Lonchura striata: one gene and its partner. The protein of the gene in region 1 interacts with the protein of each later gene in a biochemical or structural test. Links are inferred from orthologs where the notes say so. Each region holds a gene or a part of one and is shown on either strand. Other genes may lie near its edges.

Region 1 (9,980 bases):
TGATGCTTAGGTCAGAAATCAGCTCACAACATCAACTGCAGAAGAACTGCAATGCCTTCACCTGCCAGCACCATAACAACTGAGAGGGGAAGCCAAGTAGATTTGAAAAGTAAAACAGGAACCAAAAGTTCCTTCTGAACAGCAAGAAGTGAAACCAGCTATGTGCAAGGCACTGTCAGTTATGAATCACAGAAGGAAAAAAACAAAAACAGAAAAACTCAAAAAAAACCACCCAAAAAAATTAAAAAAAGGAAGTGGCTCCAGATTAGCCTTTCTGTCCAAGAAAGTCAGAGCCTTATGTGTACTAAAGAATGAGATGCAACAATGAATTAGATTTGGGAGGAACCTTTTAACAGGAGAAACCAAAGCAAAACTTTACCAGTCTTTTATGCTGGAACTTTCTAAGTAACGAGATGCAATGACCCACAGTAACAGACCATAAACTCTAGGTTCCTTTCCATCCTGTGCACCTATTGTAGTTCTTCAAATAGAGATGTGTGCTTAACTTCAAGTTTTTATCTTGGTGGATGCAGTTTTCAGTACTCAAAGCTTTCCAGCAGATACGGTTTATTTAAATTGAAGCTGTGGAATCAAGAGGACTATTGTATGCTGAAACCTCAGTGCAATACTGGAAGACCACAAGGGCTGTCCTGCCCACTTTGCCTGTCACTCTGCCAGCAGGGCATAGCAAACACTCCTTTATATCAGCACTGGGATACAACAAATCCTGGCAAAAGTGACTAGGCAGAAGACTGAAAAATTCATGCCAGCTCAGCACTCATAGAAAGGGTAACTTGAAATCATGTGCCTCCCCAGGCAGCAGTTAATTCTTAATGTTAGTCAAAGATCCTACCTCTTCAATGACACTTTCAGCCTTGCCCCACAGCTCAGTAGCCAGCCCATATTGATTTTTATTTATTGCATCCATTATTTCTTTGGCAACAGCAGTCACCTCTGCTAGACCATTATCATCAAGGAGAGACTGGAAGACAAACACAAAGAAGGACAGCTTCAATTACAATTCCACATCCATTTACTGCTAACAGCCTCCATGCTTTTTAGGTTTTATTCAGGCCAAGAGGTAATCTTAAAATTCAACATCCATTTGTACTGTATGGCAGCACAAGGGATCAGGTGAGAACCAGGAGTTTAAGAAGGTACTTACAGTGCTGTAAAGGTAGGGCCCCCAGGACAGCACAGAGTCTAAACAAAGAACAGATTTCAAACATCAAACTGATAATCAGTTATTGATGTAAGATTTAACTGACTTCTCCTTTACTGGGGCAACAATGCTTATGAGAAAAATAAATGGAGATTACTTAATCAGTAAAAAGGTACAGTTAACCCTAAAGTTATGTACCGCAGAGCAAGTTCTTTACAAGTCCTGCAACATCATTAATCCCCTATGAGTTAACCAGTGAAATTTATTTAAAGCAACCAACACATTTTGACCAGTGTTCTCCCCCCAGCATTACAGCACATTGCCAAACATGGGTAGAGGTCTAACAAGAGGATGGGAATTATCTAAACTTATCTCTTTGTAAAGTCACAAGGTAAAAACTGAGCTATAAAACAAATCTGTTTTATAACAACTTTGTTTGTAATTCTCAAGGACCAGATGATGGCAGACAGATAAGAGTTTGCTTGGTATTTGTTCTGTGCTGCAGAGAATCTGTGAAGCCTGCCCTTGCCAATACCACTGAAGGACCACAAGCCCTTTAACTTGCTTTTTATCCTCACCAGACACAAATCTCACTTGCAGCCTCATGAATGGCTTGGTGGCCACATTTCAGCCAAAAACACCTCAGAGGCTGTGGAGATGTGTAGGAACATTTTACCATCCCCTCCACTTCAGATGCAAGTGTGTTCCTCGCTGACCTTCCTCTCTGACTTTTCCTAATCTAGATACATTCTAAAGAGAGATTCATCAGTCACAAGAAGACTTGCAAGGCTGTAGTATTTATTTTTGATTTACCAGACTCACTAGAGAGTTAATTCACTTAAGGCAGGGATGGCCTTTTTGACTTCAGGTACTCATGGAATGATTACAACACCCAACAAAACAAAATAACAACAACAAATCATCCACAGTCTGAGGAGTTTAAACATACCCAAAGGTGAAATCCACGAGTCTCCAAGAGCAGCGCCCATAAAATTGCACTTTATGGTCCCTTTTTGAACAGCCTTTGTGAATAAGAGGAAAACCAAAACAAAACACCAATAATTAAATTTTAGTTATTCGTGACTCTAGAAACAGTTCTCATTAAGTGAAAAAAGTAAGTAGCACTGTGAATTAGGCAATAGGGACAGTGTATTCCAGAAAATAAAAGTACCTGTAGAACCCCCTGTTTTGAAGTGAAAAGTGAACTTTATTCTTCAAGTACTTACATTGTGCAGCTCTAAAGCAACCCCAGCAGCCATTTTACCTCCATAAGATTCAGAAAATATGTAGAATGGGATGGTCTGGGGAGAGAAAAACCACACAAGGAACTTGTTGTGCGGAGGGCAGAAGATGCCTCCAATCATCTCCCAGATCCCATAGGACCCAGGCACTGGCTGTTCACCTCTCATCCTCAAACATTTAATGTTTTTCTTATTTTAAGCTGCACATTAGGTTTCCATAACATCCTGGTGATTTGCTGGGGTTGGTTCTGAAGCATTTTGGAACTATAAGCAGCTGTGATCCTGTATATGCTGCTCGGATAACTCAACAGACAGAACTCCACCCCAATGCTTATCTAACTAAACCCCAAAATCAAGATACAACTTCTGAAATGTGGAAAATAAGAGACAGTGGTTATATTTGCACCACACACTACCTAGCAGCAAAACACTGTTCATTTGGAAGTCTGTTCCCTAATTCTTTTTGAATTATATTTAAAAGCAGAGAAAAATACAACAATAAACAAGATTTCAATTCACTTACCTGGAATTCTGTTCTACCCTTGAAGAATTCTCCAAGAAAAACCATCATATCAGAAACTACTGCGGTAAGGTTTTGGGCAAACAAGCTACAATCATCCACATAACTGAATCCAGTGCCCACAGGATTATCCACAAACAAGATACTGGCTGCCTGCAACTGCAGAAGCAGAAAAGTTTGTATAAAACCTCAGTTCAGCACCAGCAAAAATCTTAGTTTTGATGGCACAAATGATTAACTGAGCCAGCAAATCCCTGGACCTGAAAAGACTTGCAGAAAAATTAGGTGCAACATAAAGGCCTTCAATTTGCCCAATCTGTAATGAGAAATACAGCCAAAAAAACTCCCAGTGATCCAGGGGCAGGTCACCTAGGGGAACTCCGAGTACTTCAGTCTATTGGTAACTCAGGGCACAGATATATTGCTCTAATTAAACTTCCACCTTCACAGGCAGCTGTCATTTGTTCTCCCTTGAAGGCCATACTGGACCTGTAATTATAAGCCATAGGTTTTACGCTGCCAGCCACCCAGAAAAAACTCTGTGACTGCACACAATGGAGCTGTGATTTGAAAGAACACTTTCTACAATTTCCCTGCTCTGTTTCCCATTTCACAGTTCCATGGAAGACCAGACATACTTTATCAAATCAAATTAATGTCTACCCCTCAGTTTTGAACAAGGCTATTCCTATCAGCTAACTTATTAACCACAATACTTTAACTTGAAATATTATAGTTCTACTGAACTTTAAATGAAAAACTGTTCCGTGCTTTTTTTGTGTAGTCATCATCTGCTCACACAAGCAAACAAACATTTGTAATTAGTAGTTAGAAGCTGAACTCTCTACTGTACCCAGGTTGTATTTCTTGGTTTCATTTCTTTGTCTAATGGACCAATCTCTTCAAAGTTCCCATATCCACAGCCTGAAGCTCCTGGACCTCCCTGCAGGGAAATATCAAATGACACAGATGTTAAAAGGCAGCATGGCACAGATATGACAGATGGAAGAAAAATACAAGACAGCCAGTAAGTAGAATGACAGATTGTAAATTTTTAGAAATGGTTTTTGCAGTACACATTAATTTGTAGAGCAGGATCTGTTCCTCATGGTCTTGGGCTATGCACACACATGCCATTTCTGAAAGCAAGAATTCAACAGAGAAGCAGTCACCCACTTGTGAGAGCTTCTGGTGAGCTGCCTGCTATTTGAGCACAGTTTCAAAACCTTATTCCCTGAATATGGAGTGCAAAAGCTAACTGCTAACTGGGACTTTGCAAGTCATTAGCTTAATCAGCATGTACAGCCTTTGGGTTTCACTCTGATGAAACAATCCAGAGAGAGTAAGAACAAGTCCTCAAGCGATTCTATTCAACATTAACTTCTGCAATGTACTGTAGAGAACACACCACCATTTTTATCAAACTGGGATTGTTTCCATTTAGAAATCATCCTCAATCTCTGGTTATTTTATTTCTCTCTCTGAATATTGTTTAGACTACAAACTCTTCAGGAAAGGAGCTGTGAAATTACAATGCACAAAAATCACTACTGTTGTATGAAAGATAAGAACAACTTCTGTTATTGCAATCAAACTTGATGGAAGGTGAGCAGTTGAGGACATCCCACAACTGCAGAATGAAACCACTCTCATTTTTCCCAACCCGAATACCTCATTCACAAGGCAAGGCATTTAGAACTAGGCAGTTTTGAATCCTGTTTCTGTAGAGCTGCACAATATCAGATATCAGACTGAACCAGGCACAGATGGAAAGAATTATTGCTTTGGTGTCTCTCGCCAAACCTTACCTGAAGCCACAAAACAAGAGGTAACTCTGTGAAGTCTTTGGTTGGGTTATTTGCATAGTAGAGCCACCAGAACATGTGGGCCTTGCTCCGAACATCCACATATCCCCACACCTCTTTGGGTTCTTGGGGCTGCCTCAGAACTACGCCTTGAGGGGAAACAATAACAATCAGCTAAGTAAAAAGGCTCAGCTTTGGACTTTCCACCAGAATCGTTCCAAAACATTACATTTCAATCTTGAGTGTGATAATTAGAAACGTTACTACTATTAAAGAAAATTATTATAAGAAATCTGCCTATACTTACACCCACACCCGAGTTATTGTCATGAAGTGTGTAATTAAGAGAGCTGCCGCCAGAATAACAGCCAAATCGCTGGAATGATTTGTTCTTGATGTGTTTTCAAGGCCTGGGCTGAAGGCACAGCCCCAGTGAAATAACTCCCATAACCAGCTGCAATTTCGATAAGTATCACAGAATATTCTGAGCTGAAAGGGACCAAAAAAACTGAGTCCAACCGTTTCGTGAACGGGCCGGGCGGGGATCGAACCCGGAGCCTTAGAGTTACTGGCCCCATGACCCGACAACCGAACTCATCCCAGCACTTGGATGTGCGGGGACCGCACCGCTTCACAGCCCCCAAGGAGAGCAGATGCAGGCAGACAGAGGGTCACTTCTAAAGGAATCCAAAACAGAATTTCAGTCGGTAAAGTCTGGTCACCTTACGCAGTCAGTCTACTGCCCATCTCGGGCACGGAACAGACCTTTGACACTCCATCACTTAATCTCAATGATCAGGGCAAAAGGCAACAGCGCAATGGAGCAGGAGCAGTAGGGCTTTTCCAAGCCAAGGAGGCTTTGCTGCTCCCGCCGGGACTGCCACTACCCTCTCCGTCCCGCCCGGCCGCCACCCCGGCAAGCGGAATTTCGCGCGGTTCATCCCGGGCCCTGCCCGGCAGCGGCTGCGGGACACAGGAGCGCTTTGCTCGGAGCCCCGTGCCCAGAGGCCCCGCTCCCGTCCCGCCCGGCCCGTACCTGCCGCCAGCAGCAGCACGTACAGCGCGGTCCCGGCCCGCAGCGGCCCCATCGCTCCCGCAGCTCCCGCGGTCACGGGACCGGCCCGCCCGCCCTGCGGCCCCGCCCCGCCCCGCCCCGCCTCTTCCTCCTCCTCCTCCTCCATCTCACGATGGCGGCCGGCGGCGGCCCGCTGCGGCTGCGGCTGGTGTTCGACCACCCTCCGCCGGCCAGCCCGGGCTGCGCGCTGTGCTGGCTGCTGCTGGAGCCGGGCCAGGCGCGGCTCGTCACGGACCTGCTCAGCCTCATCCGCCATCGCTTCGGCTTCAGCCGCCGCGCCCGCCTCAGCCTCTTCCTCGAGGGGGCGCTGCTGCCGCCCGCCGAGAGCGCGCGCCTCGTGCGGGACAACGACTCGCTGAGGTGCGGACCGGACCGGACCGGGACAGGGACCGGGACCGGGACAGGGACCGGGACAGGGATGGGGACCGGGACAGGGACAGGGATGGGGACAGGGACCGGGACAGGGACCGGGACAGGGACCGGGACAGGGATGGGGACCGGGACAGGGACAGGGATGGGGACAGGGACCGGGACAGGGACCGGGACCGGGACCGGGACAGGGACCGGGACAGGGACAGGGACAGGGACAGGGACAGGGACCGGGACCGGGACAGGGACCGGGACAGGGACAGGGACAGGGACCGGGACAGGGACCGGGACAGGGACCGGGACCGGGACCGGAACAGGGACAGGGACAGGGACAGGGACCGGGACAGGGACCGGGACCGGGACAGGAACAGGGACAGGGACAGGGACAGGGACCGGGACAGGGACCGGGACAGGGACCGGGACCGGGACCGGAACAGGGACAGGGACAGGGACCGGGACAGGGACCGGGACCGGGACAGGGACCGGGACAGGGACAGGGACAGGGACAGGGACCGGGACAGGGACCGGGACAGGGACAGGGACCGGGACCGGAACAGGGACAGGGACAGGGACCGGAACAGGGACAGGGACAGGGACCGGGACAGGGACCGGGACCGGGACAGGAACAGGGACAGGGACAGGGACCGGGACAGGGACAGGGACAGGGACCGGGACAGGGACCGGACCGGGACAGGGACCGGGACCGGGACAGGGACCGGGACAGGGACCGGAACCTGGACAGGGACCGGGACAGGGACAGGGACAGGGACAGGGACCGGGACAGGGACCGGGACAGGGACCGGGACAGGGACAGGGACAGGGACCGGGACAGGGACCGGGGCTGCGGGATCGGACAGAGAGAGCGGGATAGGGACAGTGGGACCTGTATAGGGATAGCGGGATACGGAGCGGGACAGCGGGGTCGGACAGAGAGCGGGACCGGGACCGGGATCAGGACAGCGGGATCGGCGGTCGGTCCCACTCACACCTCATCAGTGTCTGTCAGCGGTGCCAAGAGGCCGGAGCGGGTTCTGCCCGGTGGTGCGAGCCGTGGGACGAAAGGCAGCGGGCAGGAGCTGATGCCCAGGAAGTTCCACCTGACCGGGAGGAAGAGCTGCTTCCCTGTGCTGGGACAGAGAGGATGTGGAGTTTCCCTCACTGGGGATATTCCAGAGCCCTCTGGACACAGCCCTGTGCTCTGGGATGACTCTGCTTAGGCAGGGAGGTGGGACCAGATGACCCCACTGTGGTCCCTTCCAGCCTGACCCATTCTGGGATTCAGTGAATCTCCACGTGGTTTTGGTGGGACGGGGATGGAACTTCCCCGGGGGTCTGAGCTCTTCCTTCCCTGGGCAGTGGAGTGGGAGCGGGGTGCCCATGGGCACTGACTCCCAGTGCCTGAGACACCTCAGGATGTCCAAAAGGATGGAGGGAGCCGAGCAGTTGGAAATGTTCCTGAAGATGGAAAGGGAGCCTGTGCCTGCAGGGGAGGGTTCTGGACTGTCCAGGGAAGAGCTGGAGCATCTCCACTCTAGGGGAACTTGCCTGAGCTGCTCACGTGTGGGGAAAAGTGTTCATTATGCTGAACGGTGGCTTTTGTTTGTTTTTTTAACAGAGTAAAATTGGAAGAGATAGTTGCAGATGATTATGAAGAGATAGATGATGGCTTTAGTTACACAACAAAAGAAGACAAAAAAAGGCACAGACATAAGGAGGATGAGGAAGAATTGTCTAGGAATGAAGGCAAGCATAAAAGGAAAAAGAAAAAGGAGAAGCGTAAACTTGAGTATTCCTCTTGTAGGGAAGAGACCTCTATAGATACTTGGGACTCTCAGAAAAGGTACACGAAAAGAAAAAGAAAGGAAGAAGTTAGGGGAAGAAATATGCTTGCAGAAGGTAAGGAAGAGAGCTCTACTTCCCATTCTAAAAAGATGAAAAAAACAGAGAGGGAGAAGCAGTTGGCAACAAAAAAGAAGGATGAAAATCAGACAAAGGTTGCTGCAGCAAAGATGTCTTTAGAACAGGCAAATGAGAGTTTTTCTCTAAATTCTGGTAAAAATAGCACCAAAAAGATCACAACACAGTCCAGGAAAAAGAGGGTGGGAGCTTCAGATTCATCCAGCACATCGTCTGACAGTGACAGCAGTGAATTAAATATAAAGGAAAATAAATCTTCCCATAAACCTGTAGTGGTGACACTTCCCAAAGACAAATCCCAAGCTGCTTCAGATTCTCATGTGAAAACTAATAAAGTGACTGTAAAGTCTAACACTGAAAAGACTAAGACTGCAATTAGTAAAAATGCTAAAAAACCCCGGTCTTCTAGTTCAGATTCTGACTCGAGTACAGAGGATGAGACGGTGACACCAGCACAAGACAGCACCGCAAAGGAAAAATCGGTGCCAAACCATGTGGTGGCTGTAAAAGCCAGCACCAAAGCTCCCAAAGCACAGAGCTTCTCTTCAGACTCTGATAGTTCAGATTCAGACACACTTGTCATTAAAAAGTCTGCAGCAGCGTGTGCTGGACTGTGTAATTCCGTAGTAACGAGGTGCATTAAACAGTTGCCAGCCAGAGTCCAAGGACCGTTTGCCTGCCCCAGCCGTGGAAGGGGGCGTGGAACAGGAGAGGATAACTTCTGGAGAGGACCTAGGGGCCGTGGGTTTCGTGGGATGATGAGGGGCCATGGGAGAGGAGCAAACCCTGGCTTCTTCTATAACTACAGCAGTGAAGGCCAGAAACAGAGGCAGTTAAATGAAGCTGCGACAAACACTTCTGTCCTTGTCCAGGTGAGTGACTGACACAGGCAGAGGTCACCTTTCTCTGGCAGCTTGATGAGAGTATATATAGGATGAGAGTAACTCATAACAGCAGAAATAGCTTAGTGGGATAAAGGCTGATCTTTTATTTACTGTAATTCAGTTTGTCAGCCTGAGGATGTGTTTGTGAAACAGCAATAAAGTGATTGTATTCTATATCTAAAAACAAAGCATGTACCTTGCTCTTCTCAGTGATTCTTGCAATCCAAACAGCATGAACATTGTCTTCTGTTTTCACTGATACAGTAATTAAATCAGTGGGTTACTCTTTGTTTCACAGAATCCCATGGAGATTCCCAAGAGAGACTATAGTGTGTTACCTCTTCTAGCTGCTCCACCCCGAGTGGGAGAAAGAATTGCCTTTAAGGTAAACTCTGGAAATGCTAAATGTTAGTAGGTTAAAATTGCTTCATTTGTGCCACTCTTTAAGTTTCTGACCTAACTTGTTTCTTTAAAAATTTCACTTGTTGTAAAGCCTGGCTTAAAGATTTTTGACAAAGTTTGGAATATATACAGAAGTTAAGTGCATTTCTTCAGACTTTCTTTATTTGTAGAACACAAGAAATGCTGTCTCTGTTGTCATTTCAATGTAATTTTCCATGTAAATATTATTGGAAATCTTACCATACAAATAATTACACTGCACTGCAAAATAAAAAAGTAAATAGAAATGAAATCCTGGCAGTTGAGGAGACTGGGATCCATCTCCCTGATCCCTCACACAGCCTGACCTGAATGTAAATCCTTTAGAACAGCAAGTCCTAGAAGTCTACCTGGGACCATAATTGGCATTGGGTTCCAGGAGTAGAGACTTGGCTCTTGCACTTTCTGTTGCTGAAGAAGCTGTCTGGATGTAGGTGGAATCATCAAAGATTGGGAAAAGTTACAGTTTGTTACTTGCATTTCTTTCAACAGCACCTGGAACTAACTGAGAATTACAGTCCTGAAGTTTCAGAATATAAGGTACTGGTTTTCTTTCCTTCCTTCTT
Region 2 (9,922 bases), on another chromosome or scaffold:
TGAGAAGAATCTTTGTGTCATGGAATCACATCTGAATACATTACTTATATCTAAACGAGAAACTTCAACAAAACACTTCTATGAAATACATCACAGGAAGATATTAATATTTATCAATACCTACATTTTACAAGCTTTATCATTATCACAAAACAGGATGTTTTAATTCTGTGTTACTTTTCCATACCACTTCTACACAGTAACATTCTTCCCTACTATCAAGACACACCTTACACATAAATTTTAAGACTAGCTTTATCCACATTATTATCCACAGCATCTTCAAGAAACTCCTCTCTACATCCCTTTGTCTTTCCTTTTCTTTTTTTAATCTTCAAGGTGATACATAGTTTACTGTCTTGGAGGAAGATCCTTCCTCCAGATTTTCTGCAGGAGAAAAATGAGACTTTCAAGCACCAAAGACAATTCCAGCCAGCTCAGATAAGACCAAACCAATGAGAATGCAATGGTGTCAAAGTGTCAGAAGGAACAGAGCAGTAGAAAAGCCTACATGTTGATATCACTTACAAGAGCAGGCCAGAAAGATCACTGCAGACCCTTAAGCAGCTTCACAGGACATCTAAATCCGGAAATGGATTAAAACAAAGGGCAGACTGAAACTATTAGAAGTGCTAATGAAATACACCAGAAGTCTAGAGCCCCAAAGCTGACTCAGATAAGGCAAGATAGTGTGAAAATCAGCAGCATTGCCCAGTGACTCAGATGTGTGACAAGATCACACACACTGCCATCTAAAGGATACCAAAATATATCCAAAATAAGCATACTTGTCGTCAAGCTAAGAAACAATTTATTGTTAATATAAGAACTATGCAGAGGGCTTGAAGAACCTCCCCTCCTTGACCTCTGAGTTATTACAAATAATTCAGGCAAGACTTGAACAAATGCACTTAAGTGCTTGAATGCTGGACAGATTGTTGCCCACAAAAGAAAAATTTGTAGCCTCTCTTACAATAAGGCTAGCAAGCCTGTGAAACAAACCTATTGATACATTGCACATCTTTGACATTCACAGTGAGACTCTCGATAGCAGCCTTGCTTGAAAAGGAATTAAATTTAGTTAAAATAGCTCCTCAAGAGTATCAAAGGAAGAGCTGATGCTTCCCTCTTCCTCCACACCCCTTCTTATTTTGTTTAACATGGTCAATAATTGTATGCCTGAAGGTATTTATTTAAATAAAAAATTGTTAATGACAACTTCCCTTTATCCATAAAAGCAAAAATTCAAAATGGACATAAGTTTGAATGTCCCCAGCTGGGAACCCTGCCCTTAACAAATACACTGGATACACATACATGGTTTCTTGGCTGTCTGTATTCATACCCATCTGTTAACATGGCACTGTGCCTACTTACAAGTTGGTCAAACTATCAGTAGGCCATAGGTGCCAAACACTGATCGCTTGCAATGGGCAGCATGCACAATACTAAGCACTCAATCTCTTGCAAAAAAGCTGTTAGCCAAGGAAATATTTAAGCAATGGCTGCACATGCTTTCACATTTATTTGGATAAATCCATTCAAATATCTTCTACTGATTGACACCAAAGACACTTGGACACCACAGAAATTTTCTACATGAAAAGACAGAACTAGAAAAAAAAACACAATAAAAAAATTTAAAAAGGCAATTAAAATTACTACAAATTCTATCATTCTATATGCTTTTCAAATCATAATACAGCAAACACAAGGGGTTTGTCAGAAAACTTTTGCACCAACAAACATGACATAGAGCTGTCTACTCTACACTGCAGAACTGGAATAAAGCCATCTACTTCTCCCTAAAATCACTTTTAAAAATTCACCACCACCATCCCTCCAAAAAGAAAAAAAAAAAACCTTAAACTTTCCTCTCAAGACTTCTTTTCATCAACAAAGGAAGTATTTTCCATCCACAGGTATTGTGAAGTTTAATTCATTAGTTCCTGCAATCATGCTAAAGTCCTTGAAAACAGTGCCATGGATGTCAAGTACTGTACTATCATTCAAGTGTCAGACCTGACCCTACTTAGCTAAGGTGCCTGACAAGAACAATATTCAAGGTGCATGATTGTAAACAGCAGCAGTTTCTGTTGCTAAAATGTGCTCAAAACAAAGATTTTCCTACTAAAAAGTATGAATAACAGAAGTCTATTTGTCTAAACTCTCTCCAGAAGCCTCTCAGTACTACAAAGGCTTCTTCCTAATAAAACATCTTGGAAGAAACAGAATACACTGTACTTGAAATAGCACTACACATGTAAAATTGTCTGCATATCAGTGGTGTTATCTTTACAAATGTTGCCTGCTACTATTGCTACTTAAGCAATACTTGACCTCTTAGAATAAATATGAATAGCCACTTCTCAAGTCTTGTTGCCATTCATTATAGACAAAACTCTGAAAGAAATTTTATTTTGAAGGAATTTCTGCTGTGTGTCAAGTCAAACTGGTTGCTTCCTGATCATCCTCTTTTATTCTCTGGAAACTGTAATTTTTACAGTTGTTTATCTTAGTAGGACATATTTTCATTGTCAACCCAGAGAAGGCATGCTGGTGAAGGCATGCTGTGCTCCCAGATGAGCAGGTAGCTCCAGCAAGACCTGAAATCTATGCACCATTAAATTGGTCGTTAGTCAAAGCAAGAAATCCACATCTGCCTAAAAAAAAAAAAATTAAGACAAGGAGAAAACAAAACTAAACTTTTTCTCAATGAGTAGGGTAGAAAGAATATGACACTTAAAGATTCCTGAAAACTGTAGAGCTGTTTCATGGGAGGGGCAACCCAAAAAATAACTGATGTGTTGGTGACTTGTCAAACCAAGTGAGGTGAACAGTGAACAAAGACTTTCTTGCATAAATCAAACATTCCTTGACTCTCTGTGAAAACCTCTCCAATCTAAGTTCCTGATTAAGATACTGAACAGTTTATGGCACTCACAGAAGAGGAAGCACTACAGTTCTGCCCCAAAGAAAAAAAGTATTTTTAGACAAATAAATGCCATTGGTGGGCCACAATTACTGAGAAATATGTAACCACAACAGCACCACAGTTGACCAAGGAAATGCCTTTTTTTCCTTTTTTTGCTGAATAAACCAAGATAACATAGTATTTCAGAATGCAGCTTGTTCACAGGTAGGAAACAGTCATTTACAAGTGGAACTACTGTGCTACTAATTTTAAATTGCTTTCTCAAGAAAACATTACTTTTCTTAAAGTTTCTTTTAAGGTTATTTAAGGTTCTCCTGAAAATTTTAATCATCACTCAGTTGTTGCAATAAAAAACAGTGATCATTGTAAGATACCAAATCATATCACTCCAAATCACCTCACCCCTACACCAACTGCAAATACCTAACATATGTGAGTGAGACACTTAAAGGCTTTTTGATAATTTAGCACACTGTATAAAAATCATCAGCTCTGAAATTCATCAGGAATCCTACCTCACTTAGAGATTTACCCCCAAGAATTTAGTGGACAGCTTATTCCTTCAGATGATAGCACAAGCCCTTTGACACAGTAATAGTTACAGGAAGCTTCACAACAGCTTTTATATTTTTCTTAGCCATAAAAAGGATCCATGGATTCCCCATAAATTAATAAAAGCCTACAGTTCTTAGAGTGCTTAAGCATAAATTGAAAACCAAAGAGAACAACAGAGCTCACCCTGTCTGCAACTGCTGAAGTCTTACACAGGGAAGTCAAATTGCAAGAAGTAGAAAGTTAAGAAAAACCATAACCAATGACAGAAACTAACTTAGCTCAATTCTTACACACCAGGCCTTCCCTGATCCTAAAATTACAGTTGTTTGTGATTTGTAGGTGTGTATGAAAAAAAAATTACTTTAAAGCAAAATTTAGGCACACCTCCCAGCCAAGGTGCTGCCACACCGAGACAGTCCCGAAAGTGACGAACCTCTAAAGTGACACAGAGCACAGCTTTTATTCAGCCTCCTCCTCCAAGCTTTAGTGCTAAAAAAAAAAAAAAAAAAAAACAAAAAAACGGGAAGTAAAACAACATAGGCCGCTGCCTAAGGCCGCTTTAGAGCCCACAGCAGGGATCGGCGGGTCCCCAGACCTCACGGGTGAAACTGTGGGAGCGCTGCCCCACTGCCCCTGTTCCCCCCCGCCGGCCACGGCTTGGGCCGGGAGAGGGAGGGAAGGGAAGGGGAGGGAAGGGGAAGGGAAGAGGAAGGGGCCTTCCCTGCCCCCGGGGAGGAACAAGGCTCGGGCGGGCCCCGCGGTAGCACCGGCCTCCTCCGCGACGGAAGGGGGAAAACCGCCCGCAATCCGCCACAAGGGCCGGGGATGCTCGGCACGGCGAAACAGTGCCCTAAAATTCGCCTCCTTAAAAAAAAAAAAAAAAGCAAACACCTGCACCCAGAGGCAGCCGCCGGCTCCAAGCACCTCCTGCGCCAGCGGCCCGGCCGCTCCTTCCTCCCGCTCCGAAATTCCCGCACTGCCCGCGGCCCCGGGCGGCCCGCCCGCCCCGCCGCCACCTCCCAGCACCGCCCGCGCTCATTGGTCCGCCGAGCGCTGCCCGCCGCCTCCGTCCCGCCCTTGTCGCGATGCCTGCTGGGAAGTGTAGTCCATAGCTGTAGAAAGTAGCCGCAGGAGGCTCGACACGAACCACACTTCCCAAGAGGCACCGCGGCCCGAGATCGCTCAGGAGCTGAAGTTGTTTGCGGTCCTGCAGTCGGTTGGGTTGGAGAAGAGCTTTAACACCCGTGTTCACTGCAAAACCGTGCCTGAAATCCACATCCATGCGTGTGGAACATTTCCAGGGGTGGTGACTCCACCACTGCCTTGGGCAGCCTGTTCTGGTGCTTCACAGCTCTTTTCAGTGAAACAGTTTTGAGAGTTACAGGAAACCTTGGTTTCTACGCTGTGGTAAGTTTGGGAAGGCCTTTCTCAAGCTGATACCACAGGATCAGTTAGGTTAGGAAAGATCGTCGAATCCAGCCTATGATCGAACACCAGCAGGTGAACTAGACCAGGGCACTAAGTCCAACCTTTCCTTAACCTCCGCCAGGGACGGTGATTCCTCCTCCTCTCATAGTCAGGTACAAATGTCCGCGCATCCACCCCTGATTCTGCCGAGCTGTGAAGTCAGAGAGGGGAGCAGAAGACAAAAGATTTCCTATTCCCTGGCAAACCAGGGAATTTAGGGGATGAGGCAAGAAAATAAAAGGACAATGCATTTGTTTTGTTGATTTACTGGGTGTTTCAAACCATTAAAAGGGCATTATGATTTCATGGCCACCATCCTCACATGCTGCAGTTTTAGAGGTACTAAACAGCCTCAAACAAAGAACTGTCATTCTGTGGTATGTTCATCATGACAATAGATTTCCTTGACCACCTGGGTTACATTAAGAATACTAGATTTGTATTTTTGAAATACTAAGTGCTACTAGAGATGTTCAAGAATCTGAGCTGTTCTGTATGTTCTAGGGTACTCCTGTTATAGGAAAGACCAAAAGTTTGTTTGAACTAAGTGAAGAACACTACCACCCATGGTAGCATTTCACTTGCAGTACCATCCACTCTGGTATTGAATTACTGGGATCATGAAACCATTTTAAGATGCTGCTAGAGGAAAATTAAATGATAAATTTAATAAAAATATTCCACTTTTACATATTAATCACATTTTAGTTTAATAGAATGTAGTACTCAAGGTCTAAAGTAAATTATGTTCTTCACATTTCCGTTCTCTGAAAAATTATAGAATTAAATGTCTTATAATTCCAATATATGTTCTCTTTCTGCAATCTTCTTTATTTTTCTGCTTTGCAAAATGAGAAGAAAAATGCATATACATTGCTAAAACACCATGCCATACAATGACATGCACAAAGCATTAAAACCACAAAAACAAATTAGTAAACAGTTCCAAAATGAATGGAGAGACTGTGCCACCACGGATACTTGATAAAAGGGTACACATGCACTACACTCAGCTGTCCTAACTGGGGGCTGAGGACCACACATGGAAGTAGAGCTTAAGGTTACTGTAGCAAAAAATCATCTCAGTATTTTCTTCAAATTGCAGAACTCACGAGTTACTGGACCACAGAAGATTTTGCTAAAAAACTTATGGTCAGAGTCCATAAATAGTCTGAAAAAGAGCAGTGGTATGATCACTTTCCAAGGAGCAAGTTTTTGATTCAGTATCTTTTGTTGCCATGCACCCACTGCACACCACCTGCTCTGGTGTACAAGGAATTATACTTCCCATCATATCCCCATTATCATCCTGCAGTGGGAATATACTGACACTAAGGGAAAAATGTATTCACTGCAAACTTACTTTTTGTCCTCCCATTCACATTTCATGCTATTTTCCTCACAGGAAAGTGGTTGTATAAATTCAATTAAGGCTGTGGCTTTTTTCATCTAATGGGCTTTTATTAAGCTTTAAAAGAGTAATCACTATTCTCTAAGAATATCAGTGTGGCACTCCAGAGTTGTCTTGTTTATCCATTAATATACATTTCGAAAGAATTTAAACTGATTTACCCAGTAACCTCTGAGCTTGTGTGTATTTTAGGAGACCAGTACAACGTCCAGTTATGTCCAAGTGCTGTTAAAAGGTAGATAGGAACAAAACTGGTTTTGCCAATCTTTCCAGGTGTCTTTACAAGTTTAAGCTAATTTTTGTATTTTTGGGAAGGAATATAAATTTATGTTTTTTAATTCCTTCAGAATGCAGTGAATAAGAAACTGTTATTTTGAATACTTAATCAATTTGATGAATCAGTATTTATTTACTCAGTGAAGTTAATGCATATCTGTCTAAAAAGTTCCCCATGAGATAAGGACATCATCTAAGTTTTCCTCACCAAAGGGAGGTAAAATATTGGCCTTTGTTAAGGTCAATTTCCTAAAGAATGTAATAAAGAATCACTTCAGCAAAATAAATATTTACCCCGTATTACAAATTAAGAATCAGACACAGAGGTGCTGAGTAAAGTTTGTTTAGCTTGAAGTATAAAAAATTAGGAACAAATCTCAAAGTAAGACCTGGTTTGCTTGACTCTTAATTCTATATTATGAATTAAAAGGACATCATTAATTGTACTTTTCAAAACATTTAAAATTCAAAATTAAGATGCTGAGGCAGGAAAAATATTTTTATATCTTGCAGCTCTTTTAAAATATCATCTGTTTTCATTCCCAGAATAGTTAATTTGTTAAAGAGAGGAATGGAATATGGGGTAGAAGACATCCAATCTCTACAGAGTACCCAATAATTCAATAGAAAGGGGATGAAGTATTAGAAGAATTGATGAAAACACTGTGAAAGAAAAGCTACACAGAGAGATCCATTGGAAGTTTCACTTTTTTCCTGGTAGTTTTGTGATGCTAACAGACACATGATTTGAAGCTGTTAAAGGAAATAATTTTAAATAAGTTGAAGCTTCTAAGATGAGAGCTTGTTTGAAGTGCATTAAATTAATCCAAATTAAAGGACTTCTATGAGTTTCTAAAGCATTCTATGTTTTCTTTGGTCAAGGTCCAAACTCATATGCATAGGCAGTTTTTCTTGACTTAAATGACTGAATTGTCTTGACTGTGAAGTGTCTCCCCCCATCCCAGTTAAAGTTATATTTATAGGTAGAAATGCATTTTATCTGGGGGCACTGTATATCCTACACAGTAGATTCACTCACATGCACACAAACAGCAGTGCATAGGATCCAGCTGTAACGATGCAAAGAACTTCTGTTTATCATCAAACATTTCTTATATTCCATTACATGTGAAAGAATTATTATCTGTCCTGTTGCAGTGCAATGCTTTTTCCTGTAATGGAATTTTACTCTGCAAATTTATTTTGGTATTAAAAGGTTCCACTTTATAATGTCTATGGTTCAATCAGTGATCTAAAAGGCACTTAAATACTTTGAACAAGATACATAAAACGCTTTTATTGCAAAGCTTTGCTGTATCTACCAATTTTACCATTGATCTCTTTCCATGTAAGGCAGTTCTGGAAGCTGCCCATGCTGTATAAAATCACATGGTGGCTTTTGATCTCCAGCTGGTGATTAAAGCACATTATGGAGGTTTGAAATTTTCTTGTGGTCATTAGCATACCTCCAAACACTTCTCTGCTAAATAGTAGTGTTGTCACTATATGCTATTTAAATAAGAAACCAGAATTCTATAAACTTATTATTTGCTATTCTTTGTAGCTCAGAGGATATAAATCTCTTGAATCAGGTGAGCTTATACTTAGCTGTGGACTTCCTGATCAAATAGTGATTTCTTAAGGTGATTTGACTCTAGAAAAATGCACAAAAGAATGAGGTTATATTTTTTAAAACCCTCTTTTTATTCAAACAGGGAGAGCTCTGTGCCTTGTACTCCCTATCTACAGCTCCATATTTCCCGCTGCTTAAAGACATCACTATCACTTCCAAGGTCACCAAGCTGTCATATGTTTTCTACAGCGGATTTTTAAACAATGCAGTATTAACTCTTTTGCTTAAAAATAGAAAAAGTAGCATATTTCTGCACACTTTTTGAAAATATATTTGTGTGTTGGGAAAAAGAAAGAATCACTATGTACTTTTTACTTTAGCAATCTCTTCAATTATTTTCATAGAAAATAAATGAGTATGCCAGCTTTATATATTTTTTCATCTTTCACTTTATTATATTTCATCTTATTTGTATATTTTTACCAACTACACCTTGCCAAGAAGGAAAGTTTACTGAATGCTACCCAGATACAGAGGAAAACATAGCATTTGTTCAAAGATATTACAGTCAGTAAATACCAAATAAATTCAAAAGCCTTGTTAGTTGTTCTATCCTGTCTCCTCACTCCCCAAAATAGAACAAATATAGATAACCTGGTTTCTGACAAGTCAGTGGTTACAGACTGTTAAAAGGGAATAAAATCTGGGTCAAGGGAAGAATATTGGCCTGGAATGGATTTTGCAGTTGTAAGGGAGACTTTTGAAAGGACAGGAAAACTTGTGGAAGAGACGTGCAGGCAAAATATTCAGGTTAGCAGATATCAGCAGACCCATGAAGGAACACAGTTTTGAGTCAATTATACTGTGTGGCACCTTGAATTATTCAAATCTAGGTAATAATATCTGCATTTATCCATCAGTTTCATGAGATGGAGCACTAAAAATTTATCATTTAGTTAATATTTTTACTTATAAACTACATGCTAAAACACCTGAAATCTTTTGTAAGATTAGAGACAGCAGTTTTTGCCTGAGGAGTCCATTGTTCAGAGAAAAAAAAAAAAAAAAAACAAAAAGCTAATGAAAATTAGCACATTTCATCCTTTTTTAATATCAAAAGTTAATCCATATTCATATGAATAGTTTTTTTGGTGAATTAATTGTCTCATACAAACTTTCTTTGAGGAAGTAAAAGGAGCAGAAGTCATTGACTGTTTCCTTGGAATGAGAAGTAATACAATGAAAATTAAAAACAAAACGCTGCAAATCATTATAATTCGTACTTGCCTGTCTTCTGGCAAGCTTTTTTTTATACAGAAATATCTGTCTGGAGAAGAAAAAGTACTTACAGAACTGCTATTCTGTACTTGAGAGTAGAATGGAATCCTTCCTGTTATGCCACTGTACTGCATAGTGTTGGTGTTCATGACCATGCTAATCTACAACATATTTACATGACGTGTAACAAAATACATTATTTGCATAAGAACTGGTTTTCCCCAATCTCTAATGGCACTACGAAACTCTAAAAAACTGCTACCACTAGGTGTCTCATTGGTTTCAATGTACTCCAACCTAAGAGCAAGAAATGCTCCACAAAATTTAACAAAAATACAGTTGATTACCACTGACAATTCCCTCTTTCGTTACACCAGCACACCCTGAATTTAGTCACATGCATTACTGTAATCAAGCTGTCAGTCAG

Evidence for each region.
Region 2: of the proteins of COIL (region 1) and VRK1, one has a biochemical effect on the other in vitro, tested with the Homo sapiens proteins (2 studies listed by BioGRID and IntAct, with this or other methods). The link is inferred for Lonchura striata from reciprocal best matches to the Homo sapiens genes COIL and VRK1.

The regions. Positions count from the first base shown.
Region 1 is NC_134621.1:7,703,826-7,713,805, reverse strand, and holds the start of COIL (coilin), read left to right. Parts: upstream 1-5,887; 5' UTR 5,888-5,915; coding exon 5,916-6,163; intron 6,164-7,787; coding exon 7,788-8,961; intron 8,962-9,271; coding exon 9,272-9,358; intron 9,359-9,906; coding exon 9,907-9,954; intron 9,955-9,980. Other genes in the region: SCPEP1 (retinoid-inducible serine carboxypeptidase), read right to left, coding at 854-982, 1,166-1,203, 2,112-2,184, 2,389-2,463, 2,927-3,082, 3,777-3,866, 4,732-4,877, 5,765-5,816. UniProt on the Homo sapiens protein: Component of nuclear coiled bodies, also known as Cajal bodies or CBs, which are involved in the modification and assembly of nucleoplasmic snRNPs.
Region 2 is NC_134608.1:13,986,025-13,995,946, forward strand, and holds the start of VRK1 (serine/threonine-protein kinase VRK1), read right to left. Parts: upstream 4,468-9,922; 5' UTR 4,382-4,467; intron 1-4,381. UniProt on the Homo sapiens protein: Serine/threonine kinase involved in the regulation of key cellular processes including the cell cycle, nuclear condensation, transcription regulation, and DNA damage response.